Saccharomyces cerevisiae S288C: one gene and its partner. The protein of the gene in region 2 interacts with the protein of the main gene of each other region in a biochemical or structural test. Each region holds a gene or a part of one and is shown on either strand. Other genes may lie near its edges.

Region 1 (6,019 bases), on a different chromosome or scaffold from region 2:
ATAAAAATGAACGTAAAACAAGTAAAAATGTAGGATGTTATAGTATCAACTAGCTGCCGGAATAGTGCAAATTGTATGAATCGAAATAAGTACGCTAGCCAAGGCAGTAAGGCCTAATGCCCTTAGGCAAATTTATTATTTATATTAAGTTCCAAGAAGGGGAAGCGCCTTCTTTCCCCGCAGTACAGTATTTTACCCGGAGGTTCTTAATAAGTTATTACTAAAAGGGTCATAACGGATTTATTAATAATGGGATTATAAAAATAATGCGTGTGTACCTAGTTATCGCGTGATAGCTTCCGCAATTTTCCAACCATTAGTAAATTTTATGTAACTAAAACGAGGAAGGAAATAGTAACGTTCATTTTCTTAATTATAAATATCATTATCATAGTGTATGGTTAAAAGAATATATTATTGTATTAAATAAGTGCTAAATACTAAATGGTCATGAGGAAAGAAAAATATGCAGAGGGGTGTAAAAGTAGGATGTAATCCAACTATAGTTTGCTTTCAATGTTTTTGACCAATTCCTTGTATTTCTCAGTAGAATAGGACTTTGGCCTTTCAATGGAAGCACCGATGGCCCTATCAGTGATCAATTGAGCAAGAATACCAAATGCCCTTGAAACGCCAAATAAAACGGTATAGAAAGAAGATTCTTTTAGTCCATAATATTGTAATAAGACACCAGAGTGAGCATCTACATTTGGCCATGGATTTTTGGTTTTACCATGTTCAGTCAATACGCCAGGTGCTACCTCGTATATTGATGAAACTAACTTGAATAATTCATAATCTGGAAAATGGTCCATGGCAAACTTACGCTGAGCCATATAACGAGGATCAGTTTTCCTTAGCACAGCATGACCATAACCGGGAATGACTCTTCCTGAGTTTAGAGTATCCCATAAATATTTTTCGATCGTATCTTTAGAGTAGTCATCATTTACCTCTTCTTTAAGTGCAAATAACCATTCTAGTACTTCTTGATTAGCACGCCCATGAAGTGGGCCAGCCAACCCGTTCAAACCTGATGCAAGGGACAGATAAGGTGATGATAGTGCTGAGCCCACAAGATGGGATGTATGTGCAGATACATTACCACCTTCGTGATCCGAATGAATGGTTAAATAAAGTCTCATCAAGTCCACGAAATCTTCATCCTTAGAACCAATCAAGTTGACCAGATTTTTAGCATAATCGGCATTTGGGTCCACTTCACCCATTTTGCCATCTTTGAATACATTACGATAAATTTTAGCTGCAATAACTGGCAATTTACCCAGCAAGTCTAGTGAATCTTCAAAAGTATAACTCCAATAATCTTGCTTGGAAATTCCTTGAGCATAAGCCTTAGCAAACTTTGACTCGCTTTCCAAGGCAGTTACAGCAATAGAGAATTGAGCCATTGGGTGTAAGTCCTTTGGTAAATTATCCAAAAGTTGAACGACATGACTAGGTAGTTCCGATCTTGACATTAGATCAGCTGATAAGTTTTCAACTTGCGCTTGAGTTGGAACCTCGCCAGTTAGCAATAACCAAAAGAGAGCTTCTGGTAGTGGTTGTGAGCTTCCTTTTGCCTTGGGCAGGTCCTTTTGAATGTCGGCGATCGTACGACCTCTGAAACGAATACCGTCTTCTGGGTCCAAAACGGAACCTTCCCATACGCTCCCTGGAATACCTCTCATACCACCATATACCTGTTCTAATAGAACATCGCTAATTTTAGTTTTGCCATGCTCTTTAACGAATTGCCTTACATCTTGAGCATGGATGGGGTAGATTTCGCTAAATCTCTCTTTTAGAGTCTTTTCTTGGCTTGAATTTGATTGTAAATATGATGCAACATTTCTGTTTGAATTTAGATAAGGAACTGTCATTTTTCTTGTTACTAGTATTATTAAAACAAAAAGTTTTGAGAACCTGTTATGATATGTGTTGATATTGTTCCCTGAAACTTAATAATGAGGAACGAACACCATATCTAAAGAACCAAGTTTTAATAGTCTTATATACGCTCAACGTCGAGAATAATGGGCCCTTTTGAGAGCATGACTATCTTTAGATTAACGTCACCAATTTCATACGAATGTAACGCTCAAAAGGTAATTGCGCTTACCATTGTTATTGTTTTTCCGCTGTGCCTCCCATTGCTGACGCCCTGATAGACGTCTAGCTACGGAAAAGGTCACACTTTTTTTCTGCAAGAAAAAATAGGTCGTGACCTCTTCGCCCCTAGTCGATGACCACCGGATAAATGCGTCGAATGTGCGCGCTATTAGTTTGCGCTCTTTTGAGATACCGCCAAGCCATTGATTGAATGACCCAAGGACGGATTTGTTCAACACTCCAAAGCGGCTTATGTTGTGGCAACAACTCTGGGGAAAGTCAGCGCAATGTTTTCCCCTAAGGATTCGCGCGAGCCGTGTGTAACAAAGTTCCGCCGGTATAGCATATCTAAACCACAGAAGGACGCTTATACGGCCGTCTTCCACAGTAATTAGAAGGACATTAGTCGGAGTGTAAATAAGACGGTTGCATACGCGTATGAACATGGGCCATTCATTTTACGGAAATGGCAACACATTTTCTTGTTTTTAATGTAAATAGTACGGAGTTCCTTTTTGGTGCGCTGAATGTATGCCGTAGTTTGGTTTCTTGCCAGGCGTGAGAAGAGAGGTCACACATGCTGTTGGGGTTCATGATTTTCAGCCTTCGCTCTGCTAAGTAAAAGGTCCATTGATCCGAAGCGCTTCCTCCAATATCGCAGTGATAAACGGTCATGTAAGCCTACAGTCTTTAAACTGTAGATGATTTAATGGATTATCTCATACATTGAATATCACACTTCAGCAGTTCAAGTTTTCATTAACATTGGTCTTCTCCAGCTTACTCTGTAAAGTCCGCTGCAGTTTTCTAGAAATCATAATCTGTACCTCCATTCAGCCATCTGAGGAACCTCCGAAATAACGAGTAAATGTTCAAACATGCCATGCGCCTTGGTTTATTGTACGAGTTTTAGCATATTGCAAAAAAAAACTGCTCCTGAGTACACTTGTTTTACGTCGGAAAGATAAATGCCGTACCATTTCTGCCAGTAGCGACACCACACATTGTAAAAACAATGTGGGGCGAGCCGGGACTCGAACCCGGGACCTCCCGCACCCTAAGCGAGAATCATACCTCTAGACCACACGCCCTCCTTTGAAAAATCCCGGCAGAACAGCGCCTGAAGTCTGGGATACAGCCCTATTTTCCCTGCCATCGTCATTGACCTTTTTCTTAACGACCAGATTAACAGCCAGTTATTGAAAGTTTGCGAACGTGAAGTAAAACTGCAAAATGGTCGTTTTAAGTCAAAAGTAACCCTGCGTCACACATGAGAAACATTATCGCTAAGTTGTTGTTACTACTTCTTGTAATTAACTTACTGTCGCATTCCAAATGGACTGCGAAACAGACACGAAACAATTACGAAAGTGACGACAGAGTAAATATTGTCATTAAAGAGAATGATGACCTCCGGGTAAACTGTGAGAATAAGTCTAGACCATTCGTTAAACTTCATCTTTAATTGAGAAGCATAGTAAAAAATAATTAACAAGTTAACACAACTATCTTGACCCATGCTACCAAGGACATAAGTAATATCCTCCACCACTTTTACTCAAAGTATATCTCATTCTGAGAAATGGGTGAATGTTGAGATAATTGTTGGGATTCCATTGTTGATAAAGGCTATAATATTAGGTATACAGAATATACTAGAAGTTCTCCTCGAGGGTCTAGGAATCCCCATAATGGAATCTATATTTCTATATACCAATATTACGATTATTCCTCATTCCGTTTTATATGTTTCATTATCCTATTACATTATCAATCCTTACACTTCAGCTTCCTCTAACTTCGATGACAGCTTCTCATAACTTATGTCATCATCTTAACACCGTATATGATAATATATTGATAATATAACTATTAGTTGATAGACGATAGTGGATTTTTATTCCAACACATTCGAGCTAGTATAAAATTGTGAGGAATTATCGGGCATCTTGTTTATTAGGTACGCAAATTGTAATAATTGCCAAGTTGTGCTTTTTAGTTGAGAAGTATTCCGTCCTCATGAAATGGCTAATATAAGTATGGATTTCATAAATATTATCCAAAGTAATTATACACACTTGTTTTTTGCTATGTCTTGGGTTTAAGAGAAAATGCTACATAGACCGTAAGAACGTCTTCAAGAATGCAAGGATGCTGCAAGCGAAGTTGTTCCCGTTATGAAGCAGAAAGGGCACATCAACATGGTTCAAAGATTTAAATTTCGGCACTTGTTCTTGTTCACTATATGTTTTAAGATTCTTATCGTGCAAGTATTCAATTATATCCTCTAAGTGACCGAACAATCAACACATCAAGATTTTTGTAGTTTTGAAGTTCCACAACCTACAGGTTAGTGCTATTTGGTCTAATTTATACATGGGAACTATGTGAAACAGTAATGTTAGCACAATGGACCTCTCAAAGCCTAAGAAAATTTTGCTGGGGACAAAAAGTGGTTCTTGATGGTAAAGAAGTAGTTTAGCTTCATAATAATTTCTTTGTAAAATTTTTCTCGTAGCACACTAAGCTTTCAGAAATCAAATAAGGCAGAGGAAGTGGTTTTGTCGTATTCAATGACTAATTGTAAGACTCGAGTATAACTTATGCAGTTTCCAAGAAGTAAGCAAACAGTTTCTCTCAACCTTTGGTGACACACTATGCGCATGCAAGTCGTAATGCTTCTCTATTTATGTGTGGGTTTATTAAAATAGTTAGAATTATCTAGGTTTGTGGGAATTTGGCCATGAATATTGAATAGTAACAAGAACAAAGCGTGAAAATGTTGAATATAATGAAAGCTGAAGACATCAAATCATGTTCTCCAAATCTTTCTGTCTCGTATATTTTCTTTGATATTTGTTTTATGCGGAAATTGCAGTGGAAACAATCGCGAAACATTCGAGAAAGAAACTAGGTAGCTACAAAAGTATGGAAAAAAGGGTAATAAGCATTCCTTTTTTTTTAGCCGCAAAGCCTGCTTAACCATACATGAAGCACTTTAACATATAGATGCTGCTCTTCACTGTTACATTATATACAGAAAAAAGTGCTCGCAATAAGAAACAAACCTTCAGAAAAAGAAGCTTATCTTGAGCACAAGTCATTCACAGCAAAATTTCTTTTTTCAGTTGCTACATGTTAATTATGGAGTCCTGAGAGTAAGTAACTAGCCATTAGAATTAATTTCCTTCCCTTAAAAATGATAGGGAATGCACGACAATACGTTAATGTGCACCCAACTTGCACCACAGCATATTCTATCCTTTAGTTTGTACAATATTATTAGCTGTGAGAAAGCCCCTTCGTGTGGCACAAATTTATTAATCTCTGTCAAAATACTTCTACTTGTTTATACTGTATAAACGATTAAGTTCCATTATGAATTGTGAATTTAGAATCGGTTTGGTACATCGCTCAGTATAAGTGCTAAATAAAATTATCAAGATTTATATTTCATGGTATATCGGCGTCAGGATATTGCTTTCTCCAATATTCCTGTTGTGCTTGTTTCTCAACTTCTACTGCTTTAACAAAGTATGCTTCGAATATTGGGTCAGAACTGAAACTAAAGCATTTTATTACCTCATTTGAAGCCTCATTTGCTGGTGCATCTATCTGCGTACTTGTGGCGTCCTTTACCGATGAATTTACATTCACACCTGGGGGTTTTTCTTTCACAAGAAATCTGAAGAATTTGTAGCATCTTTCACTACTATAAAAGTAATAGCGAGTACTCCATAAACCATTATCAAGTAAATATTGATTCATATTGTCTGTGATTGCTCTCCATTCTTTTCCCTTTACCGCTGGCCTGTGGGTGATAACTTCCAGCAAAAGCTTAATTCTGAAACCCTCATCCGAGATATACACATTAAACGGAATCAACGTAGACAAAAACAAAATAGAA
Region 2 (7,702 bases):
TTCTTCAATCAATTCTTTTGGATTACTGATATTTAAGTCAAAGCCAAATAAACATAGTATTTTTTTTTCATTCGTCACTAACTTATCTCTAAATTCCCATTTAAGTTTATCAATATTTGTTCGACTTTTTAAAGACGGTATATTTTGCATCAAAAACTCACAAGTCGCCTTAATATAGGCCTCTATAGGCCTATTATTCTCCATTGTTTTGCAAGCGGTGACCAGAATTCCCTGTGATATATGAATACATTCAGTTATGGCTGTAGGTATTCCATATATGAACCAATACCTGTAAAATAGAATGCATGATGCCGTATAGGTGTGATCAAAAAGATTTAATTTTTTTTTAAGTGTGTAAAAGTACATTAAGCATTTTTCCATATTTTTTTTTATTTCCACTGCTATCGGTCCATTAGTGCCTATCTTTTCAATAATATCTTTGCACTCAAAAACCCACTGGTTTTCTGGTGTTTCTATCAAATCCGGCCATAGGGTCCTTGCGTTAAACCCACTCGATGCTGGTGGTGGTGATGCATTGCTCGTTGGTTTTGGTACAGCTTGAAATTTTTTCACGTCACCACTTGAAGATGTAGCAGACATTATCTTACTGTAATATATTTTAAACGAAAATACTACGGCCTCCTTCAATATGTGTATATAATTACCAATCAAAATAGCTACTTGCTTTCTAACAGAAATAGTGATACTTTTTAATCACTTTTCTTTTTTTACTGAACAGTGAAAAATAGAAGTCACAATGAGACCTAGGTCAAAAAGCCATAATGAATAGGGTTTGCAATAAAAAAGCTTTAAACGATAGGTCTGTTAAAGAGGATAAATAGGTTTATCATGTATCATTTGGTTTTTTGGGATAGGGCTTGGCAAAAACCATAACAGGGGAATGAGATTTTATATATAAATAGACAAGATAGATACTAAAATAGTGACGGATTCTCTCTAAATATTCGAGAAATTTTCAAAATTTTAGGGCAACGAACAGTTTAATTAACATAAAAATCATAGAGCAAAGAAAAAATGGCGGTTGCGATCAAAAAGGAGAAGACGAAATTTGCCCCCGTTAAGGAAGTTTTATCCGAGAAGGATCATGCTAATTATACTAAATTTCAGGATACATCGAAACTAGAATGGTTTTGCAGGACGTCAAATCACAAAAAGTTCAAGTCACATAGTTTATTAAAAGCAGTAAGAAATCCAACGGAAACAAGAATAGAGACACAAACTCTGTATTTTACGGATCTCACCAACGGCAAATGTGGATTAATTCAACTATTATATTCCAGTGTTATGGGCGGTATATACAAAGGTTTTCAGTTAAATTTCAAAATATTTAAAGCCAGCAGTGAGGAAAACTCTGAAGAAGACATTGATATATGGGAAAGCTTTAAAATTGATAATATCAAAGATTTTGATACGTTAAAAGTTGAATCGGACAATGTTACGTTTCACTTCGTACCTTTGGAAAATTCTTCCTCCAGTGGATTTGCTCAATTATTAATTAAGATAGATATTCCGAAGGGAAGTACAAGCTGTTTACTAAAAGATTTGAAGGTTGACATTACCGTAAATTTACAAGAAGGATTCATAATAAACCCGGACGGTTCCAATTATTACCTTGACAAGAGCATCAGCTTGGAAGAGTTAGCAAAAAGAGACTCTTCTAGTACGTCCAGAAAAATGATAAGACATGTTTTTGTTCCTAGAGGTTTTTGCAATGGTACCATCTCATACAAGAAAAACGATAAACCTGTGAAGCTGGACTTGAAGGACACGCCTATGTTGTATCTGGATGCTGTCCAGGGGCTAATACCCAATAAGGCGGCTAGTAAATGGAATTTTCTTTGTTTCAATGGTGAGAAGCGTTCGATGATGTGTATTGAATTCACCACAACAAAAGAATATGGCAGCACTACAGTGACTATATGGGCGGTTAGTGATAAGGACAAAATTTTGGAGGTCGGGTCAAGTGTAAATGATCATGCTGTTAAATTTCCATCTACAAAAGAGGATAAGCAAAATGGTTGGAAATATCCTACATCCATTTCATTTCCGCGTGGTTTTGAAGAATCTAATTTAAGATTAGTCAATAGGTACGATATAATGAGTGAGCTGCCCGCTTTCATTAGGTCTATTGCTGAAAATCTGGCAAACATGAAGCCATTCATTTACCAATTCTGCCAGAAGTCTAAATTCGATGACGATGAAGGAGTTTCCATCATTGAAAGTACATTTATCAATTGAAAAAAATGAAATTTGACTATACATATTTTCATCATTGCAAGAATATTATATCCATTTATAAGTAGGTAGGTGCATAGACGTATATACACATATATTATAGACTAATTGATAAATTTTTTTTTCATCTTCGAAGATAAGGGGTATTCCAGTTGGGCAATGCTATTTCTTGACCAAGATCTTGCTTTTGTTCCGGATGCTTGTAGACGAAAATTCTTATCAATTTGGATGGCTTGTAAGGTAAACCGTGCCCAATTATCGTGTCTCTAGGAAATGAAATTTTCTCTTCAGATTGTAAGCAGGCCAAACTCCATGCAAACTGGTATGAAAAAGAACATTCACTATAGTTGAAGATTGCTTCAATGCTATTTACGGGTTCGATTCTAAAGAGTAACCACGGCTTCGATATCTGATATGGAATAAAGTCATAACCGAGTAGAACTAAATCACCATTGATACAAACATCTGAATCTGTCCTGTCGATAGCTTTCAGTTCCAGGGGAAGATGTGTCGTTCCAGTGCCTTCAAAAATTTGCTCATCGTATAGCCTGGGAAGGTGGCCTAGGTTAACACAGTATATTCCTTCAGATGTTATCAATTCGTTGATATATCCTGCACTTGCCACGATCTGCTTCGGCCCATAGTTGCATATGCCTATTTCCGTAATAATTTTCGGTATGTATCTGGCAACGTGCGCATTTTTTACATAAAACCAAACGTTTACCGGTGTAGGCTCGTCCTTCCTCCTGGACCAAAAGTTAACAGGTAAAGCTGTCAACGACTGCATAAGAGTTCTTTCCTTGGGCCGACTATTAAAGTTACTGGTAGAATCAGAACCATTTGAATCTTGACTTTTGGTATATTTGTCCCATCCCATATTAATTATCTTTCCAGGATATTGCAGCGCATTGTATACAATATACCAAGAATCTGCGATGTATTTAGTCATGCACAGTGGCACATTAAAACCTGGTTCCTTCGTTTCTTGAATGATTTCTCTGGCATGCTGTCGAAGTGGGTCCAAACTCTTGACATATAAACATAATGAATGTTTGACAACGGCCCATATATAGTTGTCCTCAGCTATCCACGCCAAACTCTTCTCCTTATAGCTGTGGTTATGCAAAACGTAGAAGTATTTATTGACAGCACGAAGTTCATTAGGCACGTACTCTAGTAATGATAAATGTATCTCCAGTGGTAAATCCATCAAGCTGCTATCGCTCTGATTCATCTCTTGTTTGCACACTCTGTCTTCTTTGCGCCAATAGGCATAGTACAAACAAAAAAACGAGCCAAGCAAACAGCGGAAACTCTATTAAAGGTTATGCTACCTTCCGATAGTGATAATATTATGAGAAACTCCAATGTAGATCTACTTGTCTGAGATGGCCTTTGATAAAAAAATCAATCGAGTACGCAATAGAGGGGCAGAGACTTTGAAGAGCAAAAAAAAGAAAAAGGAAATTTTCAGTTATTGTTCCGATTTTTCCGTGTGGGGTTCGGGATGCCTAGTTGTTCCGTAATGCGATTGAAAGATACACTTAACTAGGAGGCTGCTAGTACGCGACCCCTACCTACGTATTGCAAAGATGTTTGAAGTATCAACGGGTGTAGAACTTTGCAATCAAGCAAAAGCTAGATAGTTCCATTATGAATTGTGACGATGTTACCCGTACTGCCTACTACATCTCTTTATACGGATTGAAATCTCTAAAGGTTGCCCTGCCCGTCGTTTCTTTTTCGTTGGAATTCTTTTTTTTTTTTTTTTTTTTTTCATCTCATCACTAAATTGATTTAAAGTACAACTAGGGAAAAGAGACTAGATAATAGGTGCTTTACACGTTTTGACGTTTAGCTTTTACGGCTCTTTAATTGACTTGCTGTAAGTATTTGTATAATCATTGGTAATATTTGAATACATTCGAAACACTTGCTACAAGAAATTAAAAGGAGGAACTCTTCAAAAGGCTATATTTAATTACTGCTTATTTATTACATTCCTCCCTTTCCACAATTCTAACATAGGACAAACCTATAATATTTTTTTTAACTTCGGTGAGCATCATAAGCAATAACCATTTCAAACATAGTAATATTCATTCTACGAAATTCATTTTCAAGCTTGTTGAAATTGAAGGAAATTCAACAAGGAAGCAAATAAACAAATAAGGAAAAAACAACCGGCAAACTGGAAACAGAACGAAATGGCAGGCAAAAAAAGTCCTCGAAAAAGTACGATCAATCATAGTACACATTCTGGTAAACTGCCAGCAAATATTAAAAGGCTCATAAAAAAGGGCGAATCCGATACAAAGTCCAGGCAATCACCACCCACACTGAGTACAACGAGGCCAAGAAGATTTAGCCTTATATACTCTTCTGAGTCATCCTTGAGTGACGTATCTGATTCTGATAAAAACAAAAGTACAAACCCACATAAAATTAAAAGAAAAGCAAAGAACATTTCAAATAATTCCCAAGGAAAAAAAAGTAAACTTATACAAAGGCAAATAGACAATGACGACGAGGGCACAGAGTCATCCGATTACCAAGCTGTAACAGATGGCGAAGAGAGTGAAAATGAAGAAGAAGAGAGTGAAGAAGAAGAAGAAGATGATGACGAAGACGACGACGACGATGATGATGACGGAAGTGATAGTGATAGTGATAGCGAAACAAGTTCTGATGACGAGAATATAGATTTTGTCAAACTGACGGCCCAAAGAAAGAAAAGAGCCATGAAAGCTTTATCTGCCATGAATACAAATAGCAATACACTCTATTCCTCTCGTGAGAACAGTAACAAAAATAAATCAGTTAAACTATCCCCTAAGAAAGAAAATGAAGAAGAGCAGAAAGAAGAAAAAGAAAAAGAGAAAGAAGAGCAACAAAAACAACAAGAATCAAACAAAAAAGAAGTAAACGGTTCAGGCACTACTACTACACAACAGGCGCTATCGTTTAAATTCAAAAAAGAGGACGACGGCATTAGTTTTGGTAATGGTAATGAAGGCTATAACGAGGATATAGGTGAAGAAGTCTTGGATTTAAAAAACAAAGAGAACAATGGTAATGAAGAAGATAAACTGGATTCTAAGGTGATGTTAGGTAACAACGATGAGTTACGATTTCCCAATATTTCAGAGTCAGATGAATCTGAATATGATATTGACCAGGATGCGTACTTTGACGTGATTAACAATGAAGATTCTCATGGAGAAATTGGTACAGATCTTGAAACGGGGGAAGACGATCTTCCCATATTGGAAGAAGAAGAACAAAACATTGTTTCTGAGCTACAAAATGACGACGAACTCTCATTCGATGGTAGTATACACGAAGAAGGGTCTGATCCTGTAGAAGATGCTGAAAATAAATTTTTGCAAAATGAATACAATCAAGAAAACGGATATGATGAAGAAGATGACGAAGAAGATGAAATAATGTCTGATTTTGATATGCCGTTTTATGAAGATCCTAAATTTGCAAATCTTTATTATTATGGCGATGGTTCAGAGCCAAAGCTATCCTTGAGTACATCTTTACCGTTAATGCTAAATGATGAAAAACTATCTAAACTAAAAAAGAAAGAGGCCAAAAAACGGGAACAGGAAGAAAGGAAACAAAGACGAAAGCTCTATAAAAAGACGCAAAAACCTAGTACGAGAACAACCTCCAATGTGGACAATGATGAGTATATTTTCAATGTTTTTTTTCAATCAGATGATGAAAATAGTGGCCATAAGAGCAAGAAAGGCAGGCATAAATCGGGCAAAAGTCATATTGAACATAAGAATAAAGGCTCGAATTTGATAAAATCCAATGATGATCTGGAACCATCCACTCATAGTACGGTCCTGAATTCCGGGAAATATGATTCTTCTGACGATGAATATGATAACATTTTGTTGGATGTTGCCCATATGCCTTCAGATGATGAATGCAGTGAATCTGAAACGTCCCACGATGCTGACACGGATGAAGAATTGAGGGCACTAGATTCAGATAGCTTAGACATTGGCACAGAACTGGACGACGATTACGAAGACGACGACGATGATTCCAGCGTGACAAATGTGTTCATAGACATCGATGATTTAGATCCAGACTCTTTTTACTTTCATTACGACAGCGATGGATCTTCCTCTTTGATAAGTTCTAACTCAGACAAAGAAAATTCTGATGGATCCAAAGATTGCAAACATGATCTCTTAGAGACTGTTGTGTACGTTGATGACGAATCCACAGATGAAGATGATAACCTACCGCCCCCAAGTTCAAGGTCAAAAAACATTGGCTCAAAAGCAAAGGAAATCGTAAGTTCAAATGTTGTTGGATTACGTCCACCAAAATTGGGTACTTGGGAGACGGACAACAAACCTTTTAGTATTATTGATGGTCTGTCTACTAAATCATTATACGCCTTAATCCAAGAACATCAACAGCTTCGCGAGCAACATCAAAGGGCTCAAACCCCAGATGTTAAAAGAGAGGGAAGCTCTAATGGCAATAACGGTGACGAATTGACACTCAATGAGCTGCTAAACATGAGTGAATTGGAGGATGATTCACCATCCCACACAGACGATATGGAGAACAATTACAATGATGCAATTAATAGCAAAAGCACAAATGGCCATGCTGCAGATTGGTATGAAGTTCCTAAGGTTCCATTATCTGCATTTAGAAATAAGGGTATTAATGCCTATGAAGAAGATGAGTACATGATACCAGCAAATTCTAACAGAAAAGTTCCCATTGGCTATATTGGTAATGAAAGAACAAGAAAGAAGATTGATAAGATGAAAGAGCTACAACGGAAAAAAACTGAAAAAAAAAGGCAGTTAAAGAAAAAAAAGAAGCTTCTTAAAATAAGAAAGCAAAGACAAAAGGCAATAAAGGAGCAAGAAACTATGAATTTACAATTGGGAATCAATGGCCATGAGATCATCGGTAACAATAACAGCCATAGCGACATAAATACCGGTACCGATTTTACAACCAATGAAAATACCCCTATGAATGAACTTCCCTCTCACGCACCTGAAGATGCGTCATTAATACCTCATAATTCTGATCTTGCCGTGGACAGCAATACAAGGAAAAATTCAACAAAAAGTGTTGGTTTAGATGAAATTCATGAGATTTTGGGCAAAGATGAAAATGACTTACTGTCTGTAGGTGATATTAACGGTTATGATGCACAAGAAGGTCATGTGATCGAAGATACTGACGCCGATATCCTAGCATCGTTAACCGCTCCTGTGCAATTCGACAATACATTAAGCCATGAAAATAGTAATTCCATGTGGAGAAGAAGGCAAAGTATGGTGGAAGCAGCGGCTGAAAATCTTCGTTTCACTAAAAATGGTTTATTTAGTGAGAGTGCATTGGCAGATATCGAAGGAATTATGGGCAATGATGTTAACCATTCATTCGAATT

The links.
Region 1: of the proteins of UCC1 (region 2) and CIT2, one has a biochemical effect on the other in vitro, tested with the Saccharomyces cerevisiae proteins (2 studies listed by BioGRID).

The regions. Positions count from the first base shown.
Region 1 is NC_001135.5:120,446-126,464, forward strand, and holds CIT2 (citrate (Si)-synthase CIT2), read right to left. Parts: upstream 1,884-6,019; coding exon 501-1,883; downstream 1-500. Other genes in the region: YCR006C (uncharacterized protein), read right to left, coding at 2,085-2,558; DFP3 (DUP240 family protein), read right to left, coding at 5,566-6,019. UniProt on the Saccharomyces cerevisiae protein: Peroxisomal citrate synthase involved in the citrate homeostasis. Catalyzes the condensation of acetyl coenzyme A and oxaloacetate to form citrate. Citrate synthase is the rate-limiting enzyme of the tricarboxylic acid (TCA) cycle.
Region 2 is NC_001144.5:582,252-589,953, reverse strand, and holds UCC1 (Ucc1p), read right to left. Parts: upstream 3,491-7,702; coding exon 2,381-3,490; downstream 1-2,380. Other genes in the region: BUR2 (Bur2p), read right to left, coding at 1-600; YLR225C (uncharacterized protein), read left to right, coding at 1,036-2,259; IFH1 (Ifh1p), read left to right, coding at 4,464-7,702. UniProt on the Saccharomyces cerevisiae protein: Substrate recognition component of the SKP1-CUL1-F-box protein E3 ubiquitin-protein ligase complex SCF(UCC1) which mediates the ubiquitination and subsequent proteasomal degradation of target proteins.